Tamandua tetradactyla: one gene and its partner. The protein of the gene in region 1 purifies or fractionates together with the protein of each later gene. This does not show direct contact. Links are inferred from orthologs where the notes say so. Each region holds a gene or a part of one and is shown in the gene's direction. Other genes may lie near its edges. The genes, in order: LURAP1 and CDC42BPB.

Region 1 (10,142 bases):
ACTTATTAAATTCCCCTTTTTAAAAGCCATTCCGTTTCTGGCATATTGCATTCCAGCAGCTAGCAAACTAGAACAGTACTCAATAACTATTTGCTGAATTAATGAAAACGACAAGGTTAGGATTGGAACTTGAGTCATCTTTCTTCCTCCAAAGACTCTTCTCATGCCATATTAGGGGCACAGAACCAAGGGCCATGAGCAGGGTTGGAGCTAAGGATCTAGGGGATAGGACCAGGGAGGAGTCACTGACCTTGACAGTGCAAATGAGCACTCGGCCGGGTGCCACCATGTTGAGGAACAGCACCATGGCCTCATCTTCATGAGGTGAGTATGTGTCAAAAACACGCTTTGCCATAACATGACCCTGGCAGAGGATACAGTTCTTATGAGCTGGTGTCCCCAGGAAGGAGGGCTCAGCTTCAGACTTCTGGGTCCCCCACCCCTAGAAACTCACCGTGGCCTGGTTGAGGACGATGACATGGATGCCACGACCCTGCTCCCTGGCCTCGTCCTCCAGTACCTACAGGGTGGCAGAGAAAAAGACCAACTCTTCATTCTGGCATTCATGGTCTCTGTCTTACGGGCACTTCAAACTCCAGCTGCACAAAACCTTTCCTCCTGCCTATTCTCCCGCTCACACTTCTCTTCAAATCCAGCTTGAAAGCCATCTCTTTCAGGAAGCTATCACAGTATCCTCATCAGAAGAGACTGCATCTTTCTACAACCCTCTCCCTTCTTGATCTTTATGGATCTTAGAGCCCTTGACTGTTTCCGCCTCATCCTGGAGATAACACATTCCTCCATCAGACTGAGCCCTCAAGGAAGGCCAGATCCAATTACCCAGCACCACAAAGATACCAGGAAGTGGTTATTAAAAAATAAATCGATGAATTAAATGCTCTCTAATACTAATGATCACTTTTGAGATTCAACTACATATAAGACATTTCACATTCTTCTCATTTAATTCTGGCAAGTAAAAATCATTATTCTCAATCTATAGTTGAGGAACTGAGGCCTCCAAAGTTGCATAGCTAGAAACTGGCAGAAATGTAGTTTCCACTCAGGTAGTGAACACCACAGCCACAGGGCCATGGCCTAAAGAGAATGGAAAGACTGGTCAACAGATCCCACTCTACTCACCGTGGTGCCATCCACTGCCACATACACTTTGCTCCGGCTGGAATATACCTCCACATCCAGGACCCGCCGGGGGCCACTGCCTCTGCGCCTTGGAGGCTCCAGGCGGCCCAGGGCTTCATCTAAAGGAACAAAAGGTGATAGAAATAGTCTCCCCTGGATCTACCTGCAACTCATCCATGAGACCTCAAGGGACCCCCTACCCCATCTTCAGCCTGGTCCCACCATAGTCTTGCTCTGGCTCCAGGTCTTCATTGGCCTCGCTAATTGCTCGCCGTGTGTCCAGAATCAACTTGATGTTGACGATGACAGTCACCAGGAGGAAGAGCACCGCCCCTGTCTGAGGGAAGGGGTAGAGACGACTAAAGAGGGGTACTTCCTCTAGACCATAGAGGGTCTTCCTGAAAGGAGGGCCCTGACTGCAGTAGGAGGATACAGGGAGAATCTGGAGTCTGCCTCCCCTCCCTTGTCTGTTCAGCTTTACTCCCCTAACTGGGACCCAGTTTCATGACTAGCTCCTTTAGGGAACCTCCCCTGACCCTTCTCCCTCCATCATGGCTCTTCCTACCTCTTGCATTCTTCCATCTGGGGCCTCTGATTTCCTTGAACCCCTTCACAGTTAGTTTCTAGAGGTGAAGCCAATCCCAGAAAACCAAGCTGGGGATCAGAAGACCTGGGTCCCAGCCTTGACTGCCTGACAGGTGATCCCGGACAAAGCCCTTCTGATCAAAATTCAAGTTTCTGTCAGAAGCCTAGGAGACTGGACTTGTTGGGTTCTGATTCCAAAGCTGAACTCTGGGACCAGTCTACTACCTGGTGGGAACTTGACACGTAGAGGTTCCCTTTCCAGGCTGAGGGATGCCAAGGTGGGTCTCAGTGCCCATATTCTAGGCTGGGGTAAAGCTGGGAAGGAGCCCCTGGGAGGTCTTGGGACATCCCTATACCTGACAGAACCTCCGCAGGGCCCGCTGGTTGGTCAGTTTATACTTCCAGGTAAGATACCAGCTCCGCTTCTTCCGAGCCCCAAAGGGCTTGATGAGGGGGCTGGGCTTCCAGTCGTCCATGCCTGATCGGGGGTGTCACCACTGTCCTGGCCAACCCATGCCTTCAGGAATCTGAGGGGACCAGAGTGTTATATGAGGTAAGGCACTCCTCCCAAAGCCTGATGACTTCTGGGGAGATGGGGAATGGCCTTCCAACAACTCTTGCCTGCAAACACCTGTGTTGTGTGACCTGGGAAAATGGTTTAACTTCTCTGGGTCTGATAGGAAAACCTTAAGGGAGGTTCAATCTGAAAAATTCCCCAAGGTTGGGGGAACTATCTGAGTCAGGACTGCCCAGGGACCCAGGAGCCGAGGCCAGATGATCAGATCAAGGCCCTGAAAGCTCTTAAGTAGCTGGAAAGGTGCAAACCCCAGGCCTTCCCAGTCCTGGGGTGGGCAAAGGGCAGCGAGCCCCCAGTCTTCCACCCCCTCCTATCTGGTCCCAGTCTTCTCCGCCCAGGGTTCGGAGCCGCCCGAACGTTTAGGAGATCTAACCCGGCCGCGCCGCCCCACCCCGGATCCCCCGCCCGGAAACACTCACGGCTCAGGGCGCCCGGGCCCCTCCAGGGCCCGACTCCGGCCCGCACAGCTCAGCCCGGCGCGCCGCGGCCTCCGCCTCCTCCATGCCGCGCACGGCCCCGCCCCGGCCCGCCCCCTTGCTTCCGCCGCCGCCGCTGAGGGGTGAGAGGGCGGCGGGCGGTGCTTAGGGCGGCGGCCGGGTGTCTGGTTCTCGCGTGGCGGGTTTAGACGCTCCGCAGCTTTGCAGCACGGCGCGTGGGTGGGCTGCTCAAGCAGTGCGGCTCGCCCCCCCCTGCCCTCCTCGGTGGGAAACCCGGTTCAAGTCACAGTTCTAGCGCTTTGCACCTGACCACACGATACCCCAGGGTTTCAGGGGTTGCCGGCCGGGAATCCAGCCCTTCACCGGCCTGTGCTGTCCTGGGGAAGGCTGCACTCTGGTTTGGCGTTACGAAGGAAAGAGACTTAGATTAAAAACCTGGTTCCATCGTTTACTTTGACCTTGGTAGGCAAGTCAGGTCACCTCTGAGTCTCGGTTCCCTTCTCTTTAATATGGGGATACATTTATACGATGGTCACTCTATCCCAGTCACTGTTCTCAGCATTTTACTCATATTAATTTATTTAATCCCACAACGGCCCCCGGAGGTGCTGTCATTATCACAACCTTGTAAAGAAATCTTTATTTAAAAGATGCCCAGTGTCACAGAGCTGGGAGAGTTGGGCTTCAAACCCAGACGGTTTGGCTCCAGATTCCCTTCTTAATCAGTGCACTACATCGGCTTTAATAGTACTTAAGGAGTTGTAAAGGTTAAAGGAAATAATACATATAAAGTACATATCCTAACACAGTGGTACTCAAATTTTAGCTTACATCAGAATCACTTGGAGGGCTTGTTAAAACAGATTGCTGGGCTCCATTCCTAGAGTTTTTGATTCAGGAGTCTGGGGGCAGGGTGGGATTTTGCATTTCTATCAAGTTTCTAGGTGATGGTGATGCTTATTCAAAGTGAGTGGGTAGCCATGGAACAATTTTAAGCAGACGAGTGATATAATACAATTTATGTTCTAAGAGAACCTTTACTATTTTGTGGAGAATGGTTTGAAACGATATATGAGGGGAAGCTGGAAAAGTAGTGTTTTTTTTAGCTCTCCATATTCCATCTGTTTCCCAAATGGTGGGATGGTATCCCATAAATGTTAATAGTACTTGTCTTAGGAGTGAGGCAATGGGTGATCTTTTCCTAATAAATATGTATAAAATACAATAGGAGAAAACCCAACACATTTTATTAGCATTTTAAAAAGTTATTGCTTGGTTCCTCCCTGATCCTCTTCTCTCCTCAAACTCACTCTCCATGGAAGACATCACCCATTTCCATGACCTCTGTTACCATCTAAATTGCCAAACTCATAGCTATCATCCTAACCTCTCTCGTGAGCTCCATGCTCACCTCCAGGTTCACCTGCCTGCTGGACGTCTCTGTCGATTCCTTCAACTCCACAGGACTCCTGCTGGAATCATCTCCCACTCCCAGGCTTCTTCTTGAGTTCCCTTCTTTGGTGAATCACATCAGCTGGGAGTCACCCTTGCTTTCTTTTCTTTCTGGGTCTCTTTGGTCACACTGTATTCTCCGCCCCCCACACAATGGCTAGCACATAGTAGGCGCTCCATAATATTTTTTAAAATCATTCACCCATTTCTTTGAACAAAAATTTATTGACTATATCGTAAGTAAATGAATGTAACCAGCACCAAGTGGTGTCAATCATATCTCTAACAAGCCCTCCATTCTGGTTTAATTCTTCAACCAACCCAGGTCTCAGTTTCTTGCCTTTCCACTGGCCTCCTTGACTCCAGATTTTTACTACTCCCATGTTTTTTCTTTGTGAAATTTAGAATAATTTTTCAAAAAGGTAGATCTGTTTTTGCAATCTCTGACTTAAAACCCTTACATGGTCAAAAGATACTGTCCTCTGAATTATATATTACGTGAAATTACAAAGGTAACCATTAGATGAAGTATACAGGACCAGTGACAGAAGGGAAGTACTGATTGTGAGTTAAATCCATACTTTCCATAATAGGAAACCAATAGACAAACATTTAAAATCAAGAACCAGTAGTATACTTATGCAAGGTGTTAATAACAGGGTGGTATATGGGGATCTTTATTTTATGCATGATTTTCCTGTAAACCCATAACTTCTCTAATTAAAAAAAAAAGAAAGAAAGAGGGGTTGTGCTGGTTTAAATCTGTTATGTACCCCAGAAAAGCCTATGTTATTTTAATCCGTTCTTGTAGGGGCAGACTTATTGTTGGGTGGGACCTTTGATTAGATTGTTTCCATGGAAATGTGACCCCACCCATTTAAGGTGGGTCTTAATCAGCTTGCTGGAGTTCTTTAAAGGAGAGAAGTTCTGGAGAGAGCCAATAGAAGCTAAGAGAGAAAATAAACACCCACAGAGATATTTTAGAGGGAAGGACCAGAAGACATTGCCATGTGCCTTCCCACCTGACATAGGAACCCCGGATGCCAGCAGCCCTTCCTTCAAGAAGGTAAACTCTTGGTGCCTTAATTTGGACATTTTCATGGCATTAGAATTGTAACTTGTAACTTAATAAATCTCCACTGAAAAAGCCCACCCATTCTGGTATATTGCATTCCAGCAGCTTTAGTAAACGGAAACAGTGGTATAAACCTATTTAAATACTAGAAGGAAAAAAAAAGCTAAAAGTGGTTGCTTCTGGGAAGTGGGACTAGAGGCGGGAAAAGGTAAGGCAGGGATAACTATCTTTTCATTGTAAACCCTTCTGTAACGGTGAACTGAATTACTTGGATTAAAAAACCAAAATCTAAACTAAGCTGAAACAAAACAAAACATTTTTATGGTTCTCCATTGCTCACAGAATAAAATCCAAACACCTTAAAACAGCCTTGTACAACCTTGCTACTCAGAGTGTGGTTCTAGGACCAATAACATAGTCATCACCAGGAGCGTGTTAGGAATGAAGAATCTCAGGGCCCACCTCGGACTTACTGAATCAGAATCTGCATTTTAACAAGCTCCGCAGATGAGTCAAAGGAACGGTCAAGTTTAGGGAACACCAGTCTACAAGATCTGGTGTGATCTGGCCCATGCAGAGCACTAAAGCTTCAACACTGGTTGCCTGCCGCTGGGCAGAAGGACTTTAGTTTCTGCTCCTCCTGTCTAAGGAGGAGCTGAAATTGGTGTGTGTATATGTGTGTGCCCGCGCGTGTCAGTGATTAGCTAAATTCTAGCCGCTATTTTCTACCAACTCTTCTACCCCAGGAAGCCTTTCAAAACTCTCTGCAGTCCTCTGCTACCACTGTTCATCAAGCTCCAAACATTTACTGGGCGCCTGATGTGTGCCTGTTTAGATTCAGTGGCAGAGTGGGGAGAAGGCGCTGAGCTCTCCTAGCGCATTCCTGAGCTAGAGGGTGTGTGCGCAGCCCTGGAATAGACTGTGCGCGGCTCTCAGAAAAGGCTCTGCGCGGCTTTTCTGAGCGGTACGGCGCCCTCCTCCGCCTGTGCGCCGCGCGGGCGGGGACCCACCCGTTCTGCTCCGCTCTGCAGTGGCGGCGGGGAAAGGAAGACCCCCGGGAGCGGGACCCCGGCGTCCGGTCGCCCAGCCCCGCACAGGCTTGGGCCCGTATGGAGGGGACCGCAGAGTCCCAGACGCCTGACCTACGAGACGTGGAGAGCAAGGTGGGCAGGAAGACCCCTGAAGGGCTTCTCCGCGGGCTGCGAGGCGAGTGGGAGCCGGGGACCGCTGGCGCCCTGCTGCTCCCAGGAGCGCCTAGCTTGGGCCACGGCTTGGGGGACAAGATCATGAAGCTGAGGATGGAGCTGGTGAGTGTTACCTCCACGGGCCAGGGCGTCGGAGTCCCCGGTTTAGGGCTGGAAAGAACGGACTGACGCCCCCGGAGTGGGCTGGAGAGGAAGGAGTTAAAACTCCGCACCTTACTCCTCTGGATGCTTCCCAGGTTAATCTGTAAAACCCGCGGGGCGGAGGTAGGGTGACTTCCATTAATTGTCCCCCAAGGGTGGGTGGGATGTTGGTGGGTTCCCAGGACTTGAGGTGGGAGGCACAACCTAGGAAGTTTTTCCGCCAAATAATTGGGAGTGGGGAGGTCAGGGCAGGGAGACAACTGAGAACCTGGCACTGCACACCTCTGTCCCCCCCTAGTTGCATTACAGGGCAACTAGGTTCTTCTTCCCTGCAAACTAGGAGCTTTTTCAGGACCAGGACCGAATTTGGTTCAGTTGAGGCCCAAGTGTTTACGACAGGATTCAGTACAAAAGAAAATTTGGGTGAGACACACATCTACTGAAAACTGCCAGGACCAGGGGGCACTAAAATCATTCTGCCATCCAGGCATAAAATATCTGAAAGTTCCCAGAACCATAGCAGACAAAGATTAGGCACACCCATCAGTGTCAGTTCCTCACCTGACTAGTCTTCTTCCCGGGGGTGCACTGGATATTTGGATTCCATCTGTTCCTCCTTGGGGAGAAAAGGAGGAAACAGGCACCCCCCCCCTTCCATGGTGCTGCAGTCTAGATGTTCTGAGCCAAAAGGACACCTAGGGCTTTGATTCCGGTGAAGAGACTGAGGTGAAGGGAATGATTTACACCTGCCACTACTTCATAGCCAGTTCTAATAACCTGAGGAATTGCCGGCTGCTCCCTGGCCCAGAACCAGAAACTCACAGTGAGTTTGTCAGCTAATAAGTCTTCCTGGAGCCCCACTGTGCGCCCTCCTCTGTGCCAGGCCTGGCTGTGAGGGAGGTAGGGAGGAGAGCCCAGGGCTCCAGGGCTTCCTGAGAGGCTGGGAGGAGAACCTTGTGGGCGGAGCAGTCAGGGAAGGCTCCACTTGAATGCCAAATGTGCACTTGGCCTTGAAGGTTGGGGGTGAGTGCCAAATGCTCTAGAGCAGGACTGTGACTGCTCACCTAAGTGGGGGCTGGTGTTGCCTTATCATACAAACTGGAGCTTGAGGCCTAGAAAGAGCCTACTTAGAATACCCTGCTTTGAAAATACACTCTATAATATATTCTCTTAATCCTCACAAAAGCCTTATGAGGAAAATAATTTATAGATGAAGAAATTGAGGCACAGAGAGGTTAAGGAACTGTCCGAGGTCATACAAAAAGTAAAAAAGCAGAGCTAGGATTTGAATCCAGATAATCTGACTACAATTTACATCTTTATCGTTAAGACCTGCTTTGGGTCAGACACTTTAAAACACATTATGTCATTGAAGTGAGAAAAATAGTCATTATTTTCCCCATCTCACAGATGTAGAAATATGCTTGGAGGTGTTAAGAGAGCTCCCACAGGAAGTCAGTGGAGAAGCTGTACCTAGTCTCTCTGGCTCTCTTTTCTGCCTTTGAAGGTGAACTTTTTTAGGGATACATTTAACTTCTGATTTTTTTTCTTGCTGTATTCTTGACTCAGCCTGACCTGGGGCCTGAGGCTGCCTGTGAAGGGCACAAGGGAGGGAGCCTTCTAGGGGTCAGAACAAGGAGAGATCCTCTACATGTACTCACAGATCCCTACCCCATTACTTTCTCCCTCCTCAGGCCAGGATGTCATTGATCTCTTCTGGCACTCTGCCTTGCCCACTGTCTTGGGCCCAGGAAGGACAGTGGTGGAACAGGGGGTTCTCCATGGAGCCACTAGTAGCAGGACTGAGCCAAGCCCTCTAAGGACTGTCCTTCAGTTGTCCTTCTCCCAGCTCTCCTTGCTGGGAGGAGTCAGGCTTGCCCTTGAGGTTAAGGTCAGCCCTGCCTTTAGGTTTCTTCCCTCTGGTTTCTCTCCCCCACTCAGGGGTTGAGTGATATTTGTGGCTGGTGGTAGGGGAGGTGGGGGGGGGATGGCAATTCTCCACCCCGTAGTCCTCCCACCCAAATAACTGTTGCTATGACAACCCACCACCACAGAGCAGTTTGAGGCAAAGCTTTAGGAAAGGAAGGGGAAGGCAGGGGTTCAAGTCCTGGCTCCGCTCTTGAATCACTTTATGATCTTGAGCAGGACCCTGTCCCTTTCTCAGCCTCAATTTTTCTGGGGACCTGGGGGTGGGGGTGGAAAGGGGTGTGGAACCATATGATCTCTAAGGGTCCTTTTAATGACAAGAGCCTGAGAATCTCAATCCAATATCAAGGAGCTGGAAGTGGGGAGTGGAGCTCCAGGCTTTACCCCAAGGCCTGATTTGGATGAAGCAATGAGAGAGGCATACTCCAGAGCTGGGCAGAGAGCCTGAGGTGTATATGTTGAGAGGAAGGATAGAAAGCCTGAATCTCCCTGGGAAGAGAATTGGGTTGGAGTAGCCTTTGAGGTTTCATCTCTCATGAGCTGTTTATCTTCTCTGTTTCCAAAGAGATGGTATGAAATAAGTTTCTTTTTCTGGCAAGAAACCTTTGCCTTCTATTCTGGGGCTGATGCTGTCACAGTCAAGGAATTCCAGTGTCATAGGATCTTTGAATCTGCTTCTCAGATTCATTTCCCATCAATACAGCAAAATTCAGCCCACTGAACCCTAGGGACCACTAGAAGGGCAAAGGATAGTAAAGGCAAGAGAATCATAGAACTGAATCTGATCTATCCAAGCCTAGACTACCAGAATTGATTTAGGCAGGACCTGCTCTTAGGAGACTTACAGTCTGGATTGGGGAAGGAGGGAGACAGTAGCAACCCTAGGACAGAAAGATAGGTGCTGTTGGAACACCCAGAGAAGTGGCATGGTTGGGTTTGTGCTCTGGAAAGTTCACTTTGAATTGGAGGTGGGTACATTCTTTTTTCCACTGGGTGGGATGCCTCTCCACCTCTTTACCTAGCTAAGTCCTACTTAACCTTCAAGTCTCAGCTCATGCCCTTTATCCTAGGAAGCCATTTCTGACCTCCCCTAGGTTATGGGTCTCTAGGTATCCATAGCTGTCTGTGTAGCAATTATTTCCACTAGCTTTTATAACACTGAATTTTAAGAGCTTGCTTCAATGTCTTATCTTACCCATCAAACTGTGAACCCTCTGAGGGCAAGAAAGGGTGTGTTTCTTCATTTGTCTAAAACAATACCAGACCTATAAGGAACACTCAATAAATATTTGTTCCATGACTGAATGGATTCATTCCATGTTGGGAAAGGGTAGAAAAGACTTCTTAGAGGAGTAGCATTTGAGCAGGGCCCTGAAGAATGGATAAAGTCAGTGGGAATTCCAGTTCAAGGTGGCAGATTAAATACATGTATTTTGTTACTTTCCCTTCTGAAACTCCACTCAAAAGCTAGTAAATGGATTATTTTAAAAGGCATGAAGCCTTTTATAAGATTATAGGAGACGATGATAGGGACAAGATGTTATAAGCTGAAAAGCAGAAGGAACAGTGGTAACTAACTTAGTAGACTCCCCCCCAAAAAG
Region 2 (10,618 bases), on another chromosome or scaffold:
ATGTTGCTAGTTCTTCTAAACCAATGCAAATGTACTAAGAAATGATGATCATGCATCTATGTGATGATGTTAAGAATTAATGATTGCATGTGTAGAATGGTATGATCTCTAAATGTTGGGTTAATTTCTTTTTTTCCGTTAATTAAAAAAAAAAAAAAAAGAGAAGGGGTAATTGGAGCTGAAGGGATACAGACTGTACAACGGGACTGGATATAAAAACTCAGAAATGGACAGCACAATACTAAAAAAAAAAAAAAAAAAAAAAACTTATGGGACGCAGCAAAGGCAGTGCTAAGAGGGGAATTTATTGCCCTAAATGCCTATATCAGAAAAGAAGAAAAGGCAAAAATTCAGGAATTAACTATCCATTTGGAAGAACTGGAGAAAGAACAGCAAACTAATCCCAAAGCAAGCAAAAGGAAAGAAATAACAAAGATTAGAGCAGAAATAAATGAAATTGAAAACATGAAAACAATAGAGAAAATCATTAAGGCCAGAAGTTGGTTCTATGAGAAAATCAATAAGATTGATGGGCCCTTAGCAAGATTGACAAAAAGAAGAAGAGAGAGGATGCAAACAAATAAGATCAGAAATGGAAGAGGAGACATAACTACTGACCTCACAGAAATAAAGGAGGTAATAACAGGATACTATGAACAACTTTACGCTAATAAATACAACAATTTAGATGAAATGGACGGGTTCCTGGAAAGACATGAACAACCAACTTTGACTCAAGAAGACATAGATGACCTCAACAAACCAATCACAAGTAAAGAAATTGAATCAGTCATTCAAAAGCTTCCTAAAAAGAAAAGTCCAGGACCAGAAGGCTTCACATGTGAATTCTATCAAACATTCCAGAAAGAATTAGTACCAGCTCTCCTCAAACTCTTCAAAAAAACCGAAGCGGAGGGGAAACTGCCTAATTCATTCTATGAAGCCCACATCACCCTCATACCAAAACCAGGCAAAGATATTACAAAAAAAGAAAACTACAGGCCAATCCTTCTAATGAATATAGATGCAAAAATCCTCAATAAAATTCTAGCAAATCGTATCCAACAACACATTAAAAGAATTATACATCATGACCAAGTAGGATTCATCCCAGGTATGCAAGGATGGTTCAACATAAGAAAATCAATTAATGTAATACACCATATCAACAAATCAAAGCAGAAAAATCACATGATCATCTCAATTGATGCAGAGAAGGCATTTGACAAGATTCAACATCCTTTCCTGTTGAAAACACTTCAAAAGTTAGGAATACAAGGGAACTTCCTTAAAATGATAGAGGGAATATATGAAAAACCCACAGCTAATATCATCCTCAACGGGGAAAAACTGAAAACTTTCCCCCTAAGATCAGGAACAAGACAAGGATGCCCACTATCACCACTATTATTCAACATTGTGTTGGAGGTTCTAGCCAGAGCAATTAGACAAGAAAAAGAAATACAAGGCATCAAAATTGGAAAGGAAGAAGTAAAACTATCACTGTTTGCAGACGATATGATACTATACGTCGAAAACCCGCAAAAATCCACAACAAAACTACTAGAGCTAATAAATGAGTACAGCAAAGTAGCGGGTTACAAGATCAACATTCAAAAATCTGTAGCATTTCTATACACTAGCAATGAACAAGCGGAGGGGGAAGTCAAGAAACGAATCCCATTTACAATTGCAACTAAAAGAATAAAAGACCTAGGAATAAATTTAACTAAAGAGACAAAAAACCTATATAAAGAAAACTACAAAAAACTACTAAAAGAAATCACAGAAGACCTAAATAGATGGAAGGGCATACCGTGTTCATGGATTGGAAGACTAAATATAGTTAAGATGTCAATCCTACCTAAATTGATTTACAGATTCAATGCCATACCAATCAAAATCCCAACAACTTATTTTTCAGAAATAGAAAAACCAATAAGCAAATTTATCTGGAAGGGCAGGGTGCCCCGAATTGCTAAAAACATCTTGAGGAACAAAAACGAAGCTGGAGGTCTCGCGCTGCCTGACTTTAAGGCATATTATGAAGCCACAGTGGTCAAAACAGCATGGTATTGGCATAAAGATAGATATATCGACCAATGGAATCGAATAGAGTGCTCAGATATAGACGCTCTCATCTATGGACATTTGATCTTTGATAAGGCAGTCAAGCCAACTCACCTGGGACAGAACAGTCTCTTCAATAAATGGTGCCTAGAGAACTGGATATCCATATGCAAAAGAATGAAAGAAGACCTGTATCTCCCACCCTACACAAAAGTTAACTCAAAATGGATCAAAGATCTAAACATTAGGTCTAAGACCATAAAACAGTTAGAGGAAAATGTAGGGAGATATCTTATGAATCTTACAATTGGAGGCAGTTTTATGGACCTTAAACCTAAAGCCTTAAATACCACAGTTTGTTTAGCCACTCGTCTGTTGATGGACATTTTGGCTGTTTCCATCTCTTTGCAATTGTAAATAACGCTGCTATAAACATTGGTGTACAAATGTCCGTTTGAGTTTTTGCCCTTAATTCTTAAGAGCACTGAAGAACGAAATAAATAAATGGGAGCTCCTCAAAATTAAACACTTTCGTGCATCAAAGAACTTCATCAAGAAAGTAGAAAGACAGCCTACACAATGGGAATCAATATTTGGAAACGACATATCAGATAAAGGTCTAGTATCCAGAATTTATAAAGAGATTGTTCAACTCAACAACAAAAAGACAGCCAACCCAATTACAAAATGGGAAAAAGACTTGAATAGACACCTCTCAGAGGAGGAAATACAAATGGCCAAAAGGCACATGAGAGATGCTCAATGTCCCTGGCCATTAGAGAAATGCAAATCAAAACCACAATGAGATATCATCTCACACCCACCAGAATGGCCATTATCAACAAAACAGAAAATGACAAGTGCTGGAGAGGATGCGGTGAAAGAGGCACACTTATCCACTGTTGGTGGGAATGTCAAAGGGTGCAACCACTGTGGAAGGCAGTTTGGCGGTTCCTCAAAAAGCTGAATATAGAATTGCCATACGACCCAGCAATACCATTGCTGGGAATCTACTCAAAAGAATTAAGGGCAAAAACTCAAACGGACATTTGTACACCAATGTTTATAGCAGCGTTATTTACAATTGCAAAGAGATGGAAACAGCCAAAATGTCCATCAACAGACGAGTGGCTAAACAAACTGTGGTATATACATACGATGGAATATTATGCAGCTTTAAGACAGAATAAATTTATGAAGCATGTAATAACATGGATGGACCTAGAGAACATTATGCTGAGTGAGTCTAGCCAAAAACTAAAAGACAAATACTGTATGGTCCCAATGATGTGAATCGACACTCGAGAATAAACTTGGAATATGTCATTGGTAACAGAGTTCAGCAGGAGTTAGAAACAGGGTAAGATAATGGGTAATTGGAGCTGATGGGATACAGACTGTGCAGTAGGACTAGATACAAAAACTCAAAAATGGACAGCACAATAATACCTAATTGTAAAGTAATCATGTTAAAACACTGAATGAAGCTGCATCCAAGCTATAGGTTTTTGTTTTGTTTTGTTTTGTTCTTACTATTATTACTTTTATTTTTTTTCTCTATATTAACATTCTATATCTTTTTTGGTTATATTGCTAGTTCTTCTAAACCGATGCAAATGTACTAAGAAACGATGATCATGCATCTATGTGATGATGTTAAGAATTACTGATTGCATATGTAGAATGGTATGATTTCTAAAAAAAAAATGGACAGCACAATACTACCTAATTGCAATGTAATTATGTTAAAACACTGAATGAAGCTGCATCTGAACTATAGTTTTTTTCTTATATATTTTTGTATTTTTTATTTTTATTTTTATTTTTTCTCTATATTATCATTTTATTTCTTTTCCTGTTGTCTTGCTATTTCTTTTTCTAAATCGATGCATATGTACTAAGAAATGATGATCATACATCTATGTGATGATATTAAGAATTACTGATTGCATATGTAGAATGGAATGATTTCTAAATGTTGTTAGTTTATTTTTTTTAATTAATAAAAAAAAAAAAAAAAGAAAAAGAATGTTTCCCCAGAAGGCTCCCTCATGACCCCCTCCAGTCCTTATCTCTTCGAAAGAAATATACTCTGGCTTATATCACCAAAGACTGTTCTTGCCTTATTTTTTTAGTGAGGTATAACACATACACCACGAAGTGCACTAATCTCAAGAGTACAATCTGAAGAACGCTTATTGAGTACCGCTCTGTAACCACCACCCAAACCGAGATACTGAAAATGCCGGGCGGCCTAGAAGGCTTGCTCCTGCCTTTCCAGTAACACCTCCCCACAGAGGCTGCTGCAATCTGGACCCCCATTACCGCACACAGTTTGGTCGCAACTTCTTGTTCTTCACAGCCAAGAGGAGTCCCCAGGTTTCCTTGGCTTCCCGCCTCTACAGCCCTATCTGCCCCCTCACCTGCTGCCCCCCCTACCTTCCAAAGATCCCCCTTTCCTCAAGTGAGGGTTAACTCGCCCCCCGCCCCAGCGGCTCCAATTCATCCCCTGGCCTCAGGGAGCCCCTCAAATTCCGGCAGCCCTCCTCTCCTGTTGTCAAGGGCTCGCTGCGGGGGTGAGGGGCACTGAAATTAAGCACCATCTCAGTAAAAGCGGGGCAAGTCCGGCCTCAAGGCAGATCGTCGGCCCCGCATGGGTTTGCGGGGACGGGGCCGTGAGGGGTGGAAGCCGAAATGGCCACTGCTGATTCACAGGGCGCGGGGAAGTCGCCCGGGCGCGCCTGTCCCGTACCCCTGCCCCATCTCGCCTTCAGTCTCCGGTCCCTCAGGTCGGAAGATGGGACCTGATTTGGAACTCAATCGCTGCTCCTAGAGGCCGCTCGTCCGGCCTTTCCCAGGGGTTCATCGGCCTCCGACCGCGCCCGCGCCTCTCCGAGCTTGGAGATCCCATTCGCGTATGGGACTTGCAAGGCTGGAGCTGGAGGGATAGTCGCGGGGAATAGGGCCCAGACGAGCACACGCGCGGGTACCACTCCCTGCTCCCGCGCGCCCCCTCGTGGCCGCTCTCTGCGCACGCGTAGGCTCCGCAATCTCAGCGGCGCACTGGCCGCCCGCTGGCTCCGCCCCTATCGGCCGCTCTCCCCGCACCGACCCCCGCCCCCGCGCTTCCTTCCCAGCTTCCCGGCCTCCCTACGGCAAGCGGCGAGGTCCGACCCGCCGGGCGCAGGGCGCGCTGGGGCGGGGCGGGGCGCTGAGGTCAGCGCTGTGGTTGGCTGCGCCCGCGCTGGCCGCACCCTGGTTGGCTGCGGGCCGCGGGCTGGGCCGCCGGGTCCGGACTGGGGTCGGGGCTCGGGCGCCGACCGGGTTTGCGCAGCTGTCGGCTCCGCGCCGCTCCCGATTTGCGGCGCGCGGCGGGCCTGTGGGGAGGGGCGCGGCTGGCGGGCGGGGCTGCGGGCCGCGCGGGGGCGAGGGCGGGGCGGGCCGCGCGGGTGGGGCGGACGGCGGCGCGGAGGGGAGGAGACCGGCCCATGGACCCGCGGGGCCCGGCGCCCCAGACGCTGCGCCGCCGGGACCGAACCCAAGATGTCGGCCTAGGCCGGAGCGCGACGACGCGGACGGGGCGGCGACGAGGCGCCGGTGCGGCCGGGTCTCGCGGCCGCAGGACCCCCGAGGGCTCTCCCTGACGGACTGGCCGAGCGGGCGGCGAGAGGCCAGCGCGCTGGGAGCGGGCCGCGCCACACCATGTCGGCCAAGGTGCGGCTCAAGAAGCTGGAGCAGCTACTCCTCGACGGGCCCTGGCGCAACGAGAGCGCCCTGAGCGTGGAGACACTGCTCGACGTGCTTGTCTGCCTGTACACCGAGTGCAGCCACTCGGCCCTGCGTCGCGACAAGTATGTGGCCGAGTTCCTCGAGTGGGGTGAGTGCGCTCCGGCCCCGACCCTCCGTCCCTTAGGGTGCCTCCTCCCTGCACCGGGCTCCTGCCCTTCGCGCCCCGCATCCCTCTTCCTTCCCGGCCCCTGCGCGTCTTGCACCGTCCGCGTAGACCCACGGCCCCGCTGGTCTTTTTGCGCCCTTGTCCTTCTGCTCGCTCTTCATCCCTCCCTATCCTCCTCACCCTCTCACATCCGCGTCCAACCGACCCGCCCCCTCATCCTGCCCCTTGGAGCCACATCCTCCGTTCCCACCCCCACCCCTCCCCCCGCCGGGCCATCGCCCCGTCCGCTTCCTAGATCCACCCTCCGAGTCTGGATATCATTTCCTGCAGCACACCCTGGGATATCCGCCCCCCGCCTTCCCCCATCTCGCCTTTGGGGTCCAGAGCCAGCGTTGTGCCTCGCTCCCCCATGCTGGGGTGGTGGGCATAGCCGCGTGTGCTTTTTGCATTTGTCTCGCCCACGGCCCGGTGGATTCCCCTATCCCCATCTTTTGGGGCCCCAGCCCTGACGTTAGTCCGCTCCTAGGTGACAGGCTGTCTGCGTCTTCTGGGTGTCCCTAGTCCTGAACACCCCTTTTACGTAGCACCTTCAAAGGAATTTTAAGGTTAAAATTTTAATTTTGAATCCGACATGCAAAAATAGACCAACTTTTTCATCATAATTGTGTTAGACCTGTGTAATGTTTTGGGAATATCTGAGTTTGTCGGTATGTGAAAGTCACTTAAAATTTTTCTTCATTTGGTGTTCTTTGTCTCCTCAGGTTCCAAATTCATTTAAGAATCTGCTGAGGATCTATTATGCTTTATGTAGAAAAACTTTATTAGAAAAACATTTAATGAAGCTACTAAATTATAATTAGGACCCCAAAGACTGGTCAAAGTGTAAAGGGAAAAACTCTTGCTTCATCTCTCACATGAACATTCTCTGACTCCAAAACACCTGAGAAGGAGGAGGCAACACTTAGGTTCCAGGCCAAACTGATAATCTCCTTAGGTCATTTGCATCATCCAGCTAGGACTGTGCAGTTTGAACCAGTCATTTCTAATTTTTGGTACTGATAAACTGATATTCACATGAAGAAACAAACTACTGTATTCCTTAGTGAGACCTCTCCTCTGCCAAAATGGTAACTGGAATTTGGTATTTTGTTTGCAAATTAAAACTTAAGTTGCCATGTTCTCTAGAGGACTCCTGTCTTTTGCCCCTCTCTAGGGGGTTGATGTAATCTCTTGTATGAGCCTCAGTAGAAGAATAACTCAGAGCCCCCTTATTCCAGCAGGGACCCTGTTCTTAGTTGCACGAATACCAGTAAATTAGTAGCATCCATTTGCTGGTTCTGATGGACATCAGTGCCATGATTTTCAACTGAATAATTAACTGCCTCCCCTATTGCTTTGAAAGTGAGAGCTTCGGTGTGTCTAATGCTCTGAGTCTTCCTAGCCTTGTTTGCCATTCCTTTCCGACCACTTTATGTTGAAATCCAGACAGAGCCACACTCAGGTTCAACCTGGGTGCAGTATATGAGTAAAGCATGACTAAAAGGAGGAAGTTGGGGGGAAGGTTGGTTTCCCTGGTAAGGTGTGGTCGGCTGGCTCCAGGCCTGGGAGTTGGTCTGAGGCTGGGCACCCTCTGCACCAACAGCCACCTCTCCCACCAGTTGTTACTGTACCCCCTATGAACTGGGTGGGCTTTGCTGAGGAAACTCTTGTCAGCAGGTGTGGGAGCCATATTTTGTGAGAGGCCGCTTTTCCGAATTTAATCTGTTTCTGTGCTAATATAGAAATATTCTATGTATTGCTTGTCATATATGAAGTAATATAGAAATGTTTTTCAAAATTGTGTTCTGGATCTTTGGAAATTGTGGTCACAAATAAATGACATTATTCTCCTAAGAATCAGTTTGCACAGAAATGTAAGCTTTAAACTACAGAGAAGAATGAACTTAAATTTAAGATGGCATTTAAATGAACTATTAATATATTTTGGAAAAAGTATCTAATCGCACGATAATTAACATACATGCACTGTTGTAACTCTAAGGTTGTGTGTTACTGGTTAAGCTCTGTGTGCAGTCATTATTGAGTGTTACTTGGACTCGCCCACTTACAGCTATTGGAAGACAAGGAATTGTCTTTAAAATAGAATTGTTTGTGGAGCATTGTTAAATACCCTGACTTCTAAGTGGGATTATTTCTGCTCAAGAAAATAGAGTTTGTTATTTTTGCAGCTGGCAATAGTTTTGAGTCCACCTATAGTGGTAGCACATCTAATAATTAAATAATACAAAGTACAATGGAGTTCCTGAATCACTTTCTGACACTTGCTTATGAAAATGGTTGAAGATATAGCTGTACATGCTATATCTGTTTATAGCCTATTGAGCCATGGATTGTTGAGTTTGTGTATTCCCACACTGGTGTTTGAAACCTCTGAAATGTTGGTTCCTGCCATGCAGAGGGCTGGCCTCTTTCCCCTTCCCAAATCTTGCCCCAAGTCTAATAGGGATTGTGTCGAAGTCTTGAAACTTCAGGAAGAAAGGCAGTCAGCCAGCCCAGATTTTGAGTCTTACTGGGAAATCTTTGAGGAATTTTGGAAAATATAGTTAATAAAGTCTTAAAATTTTAAAAGAAGACTGTTTAGTCTGGCTCTTTTATTTCTTGTTGCCACAGAAGTTGTATGGGACAAGACTCACTTGCCTCCTGTTCAGGTTTTGGTCTTTAATTTTCCCTTGATTATGTTTATGGTTTGATTAGTTTCCTCTTTGAAATTCTAGACTTTAATTAAAAGTTGGAAAAACTCTGCTTTGCAAGTGTATCTCTTTAAGCTATTTTTTTGAAATGTAAATTTGTTACAGTTTGAAGCAGAGCATATTTGAAACATTTTAAAATTTCTTCAAGTAATTTGGAGTAACCATGAACAGCTAAATGAGGTGAATTTGTTGTCTCTCATGCTTATGTAGAAATAGTTTTAAATTGCATGTGTTGAATATGTTTTCACAGCTTAGATATAATGGCTTGTGTTGGGTTTGGATGGAGCTGATGCTTGAAAGCCCAGCCTGCAGGCCTGGGCCCATTGCAGTAGCCATCTTCCCCAAACTCCCCCTTATGTGGCCAGCAGTCTGGGCGGAAGCTCAGCGATGAGCAGACACTCTTGGAGGTGGGTCGAACATGGGACCTCCGTTCGCCTGTCCACAGCATCTTCCCTCATGCTGTCCTTCCTCTACAATGAGAAGATAGCCTTTTGCTTAATTTCCCCATTTGTGGTTTTTATTATTATGAAGATAGCAGTACTTTCTCCGAGTTCTTCATATTTGTAAGCACCTGTGGCTGTTGGCCTGCTGATACCCAGCCTTAGGTGTGTGTGGGATGACTGTGGAGGTTCCCCTACCAGACTTATTGGGTAAGGTTTTACTAATGGTACTGAACATTGCAAAAGACATTATACTCTTGATGGTTCCTCTAGATAGAATGTTTATGTAACAAGGGAGCAATTTTCTTTTAAATAATAGATTGAAGAAAGAGGTCTTTTGAAATAAACTCTGAATGTACAGAAATATTGGAATTGCATCGTGTGATTAGGTTAACATAATTTTGATTTTATGGCCAGCTGTTTGATGTGTGTGTTGATATTGGCTACATGACGTGAGATGGGCGAGTTGAACCTATTAAACGTTAACAAGTCAACCTTAACTTTCCTCTCCTAAAACTTTGCTCATCAACGTTGGGTTTTAAAGTGGGCTGCAGTGTCTTTGTAAGTCCATACTTTAAATAAGTGAAATTAGAGTTGATGAAGTTGTTCTCATCCCAGGATACTATTATGGAGCTGCCAAAAAAAGTTCTTAATGCACAGGGAATTGTTCTTCAATCAAACTACTCCAATGCATGCAAGTTAAAGAACTTGGAATGCCGTAGGGTTGACCAGTAGCTCTTCTTGCTTCCTACCTTAGCCCTGCCTCTTACTGCAGAGCCAGATGCCCTCGAAAATCTGCTCTCTGCTGACATAAGTGATGCTGGACAAACAAGTGAGCACACAGAACTGTAAATTCAAAGCCTGATTAAATGTGGAGAAATTGCTGAATGCTCCAGTGAAGAGGCAAAAATTATCTTCTGAGGCTAATAAAGAAGAGTCTTGCTGGAAGAGATCAAATCCAAATTCCTATCCTTTTTATTGAAAGGGGGATAAATAAAACTAAAAGAAATGTTGGGGGAAAAAAAATCAAAACCCCTATAATCTCAGCATCCTAAACCCCTCCATTACATAGTACTTATTAGTCCTGGTCCACATTTAAGTTTTATTTTTAGATTCTTAAAGGGCTATTGAGTGGGAGTATTCCAAGGTATCCTTAAATTTGTGCTCACACAGATGCTCTCAATGAAAACAGATGAAAGGAAAATACACTTTTCTTAGCTCTAAAAGCACAGGTGTTTTGGCAGTATGAACTAAACATGTCCGTCCTTTGAGAATTTATTTGGACTTCAAATCTACATGAGAAAACTTCATTTTCATGCAAATAAAATAGATACTACCTATGAAATAGATATAAAGGTCACACTTCACCTTGATTTTAAACCATCTATTTTGGGTACTGGATTTTTGGTCAGTTTTATTGTTTGGGATGTAACAGTGGCAACAAAATAGTTTTTAGGTTAAAA

What was found.
Region 2: the proteins of LURAP1 (region 1) and CDC42BPB purify together in Homo sapiens (co-immunoprecipitation; 3 studies listed by BioGRID and IntAct, with this or other methods). This does not show direct contact. The link is inferred for Tamandua tetradactyla from reciprocal best matches to the Homo sapiens genes LURAP1 and CDC42BPB.

Annotation. Positions count from the first base shown.
Region 1 is NC_135328.1:176,646,518-176,656,659, reverse strand, and holds the start of LURAP1 (leucine rich adaptor protein 1), read left to right. Parts: upstream 1-5,949; 5' UTR 5,950-6,378; coding exon 6,379-6,576; intron 6,577-10,142. Other genes in the region: POMGNT1 (protein O-linked-mannose beta-1,2-N-acetylglucosaminyltransferase 1), read right to left, coding at 251-364, 455-520, 1,144-1,262, 1,366-1,480, 2,085-2,204. UniProt on the Homo sapiens protein: Acts as an activator of the canonical NF-kappa-B pathway and drive the production of pro-inflammatory cytokines. Promotes the antigen (Ag)-presenting and priming function of dendritic cells via the canonical NF-kappa-B pathway.
Region 2 is NC_135338.1:64,934,040-64,944,657, reverse strand, and holds the start of CDC42BPB (serine/threonine-protein kinase MRCK beta), read left to right. Parts: upstream 1-5,695; 5' UTR 5,696-5,772; coding exon 5,773-5,947; intron 5,948-10,618. UniProt on the Homo sapiens protein: Serine/threonine-protein kinase which is an important downstream effector of CDC42 and plays a role in the regulation of cytoskeleton reorganization and cell migration. Regulates actin cytoskeletal reorganization via phosphorylation of PPP1R12C and MYL9/MLC2.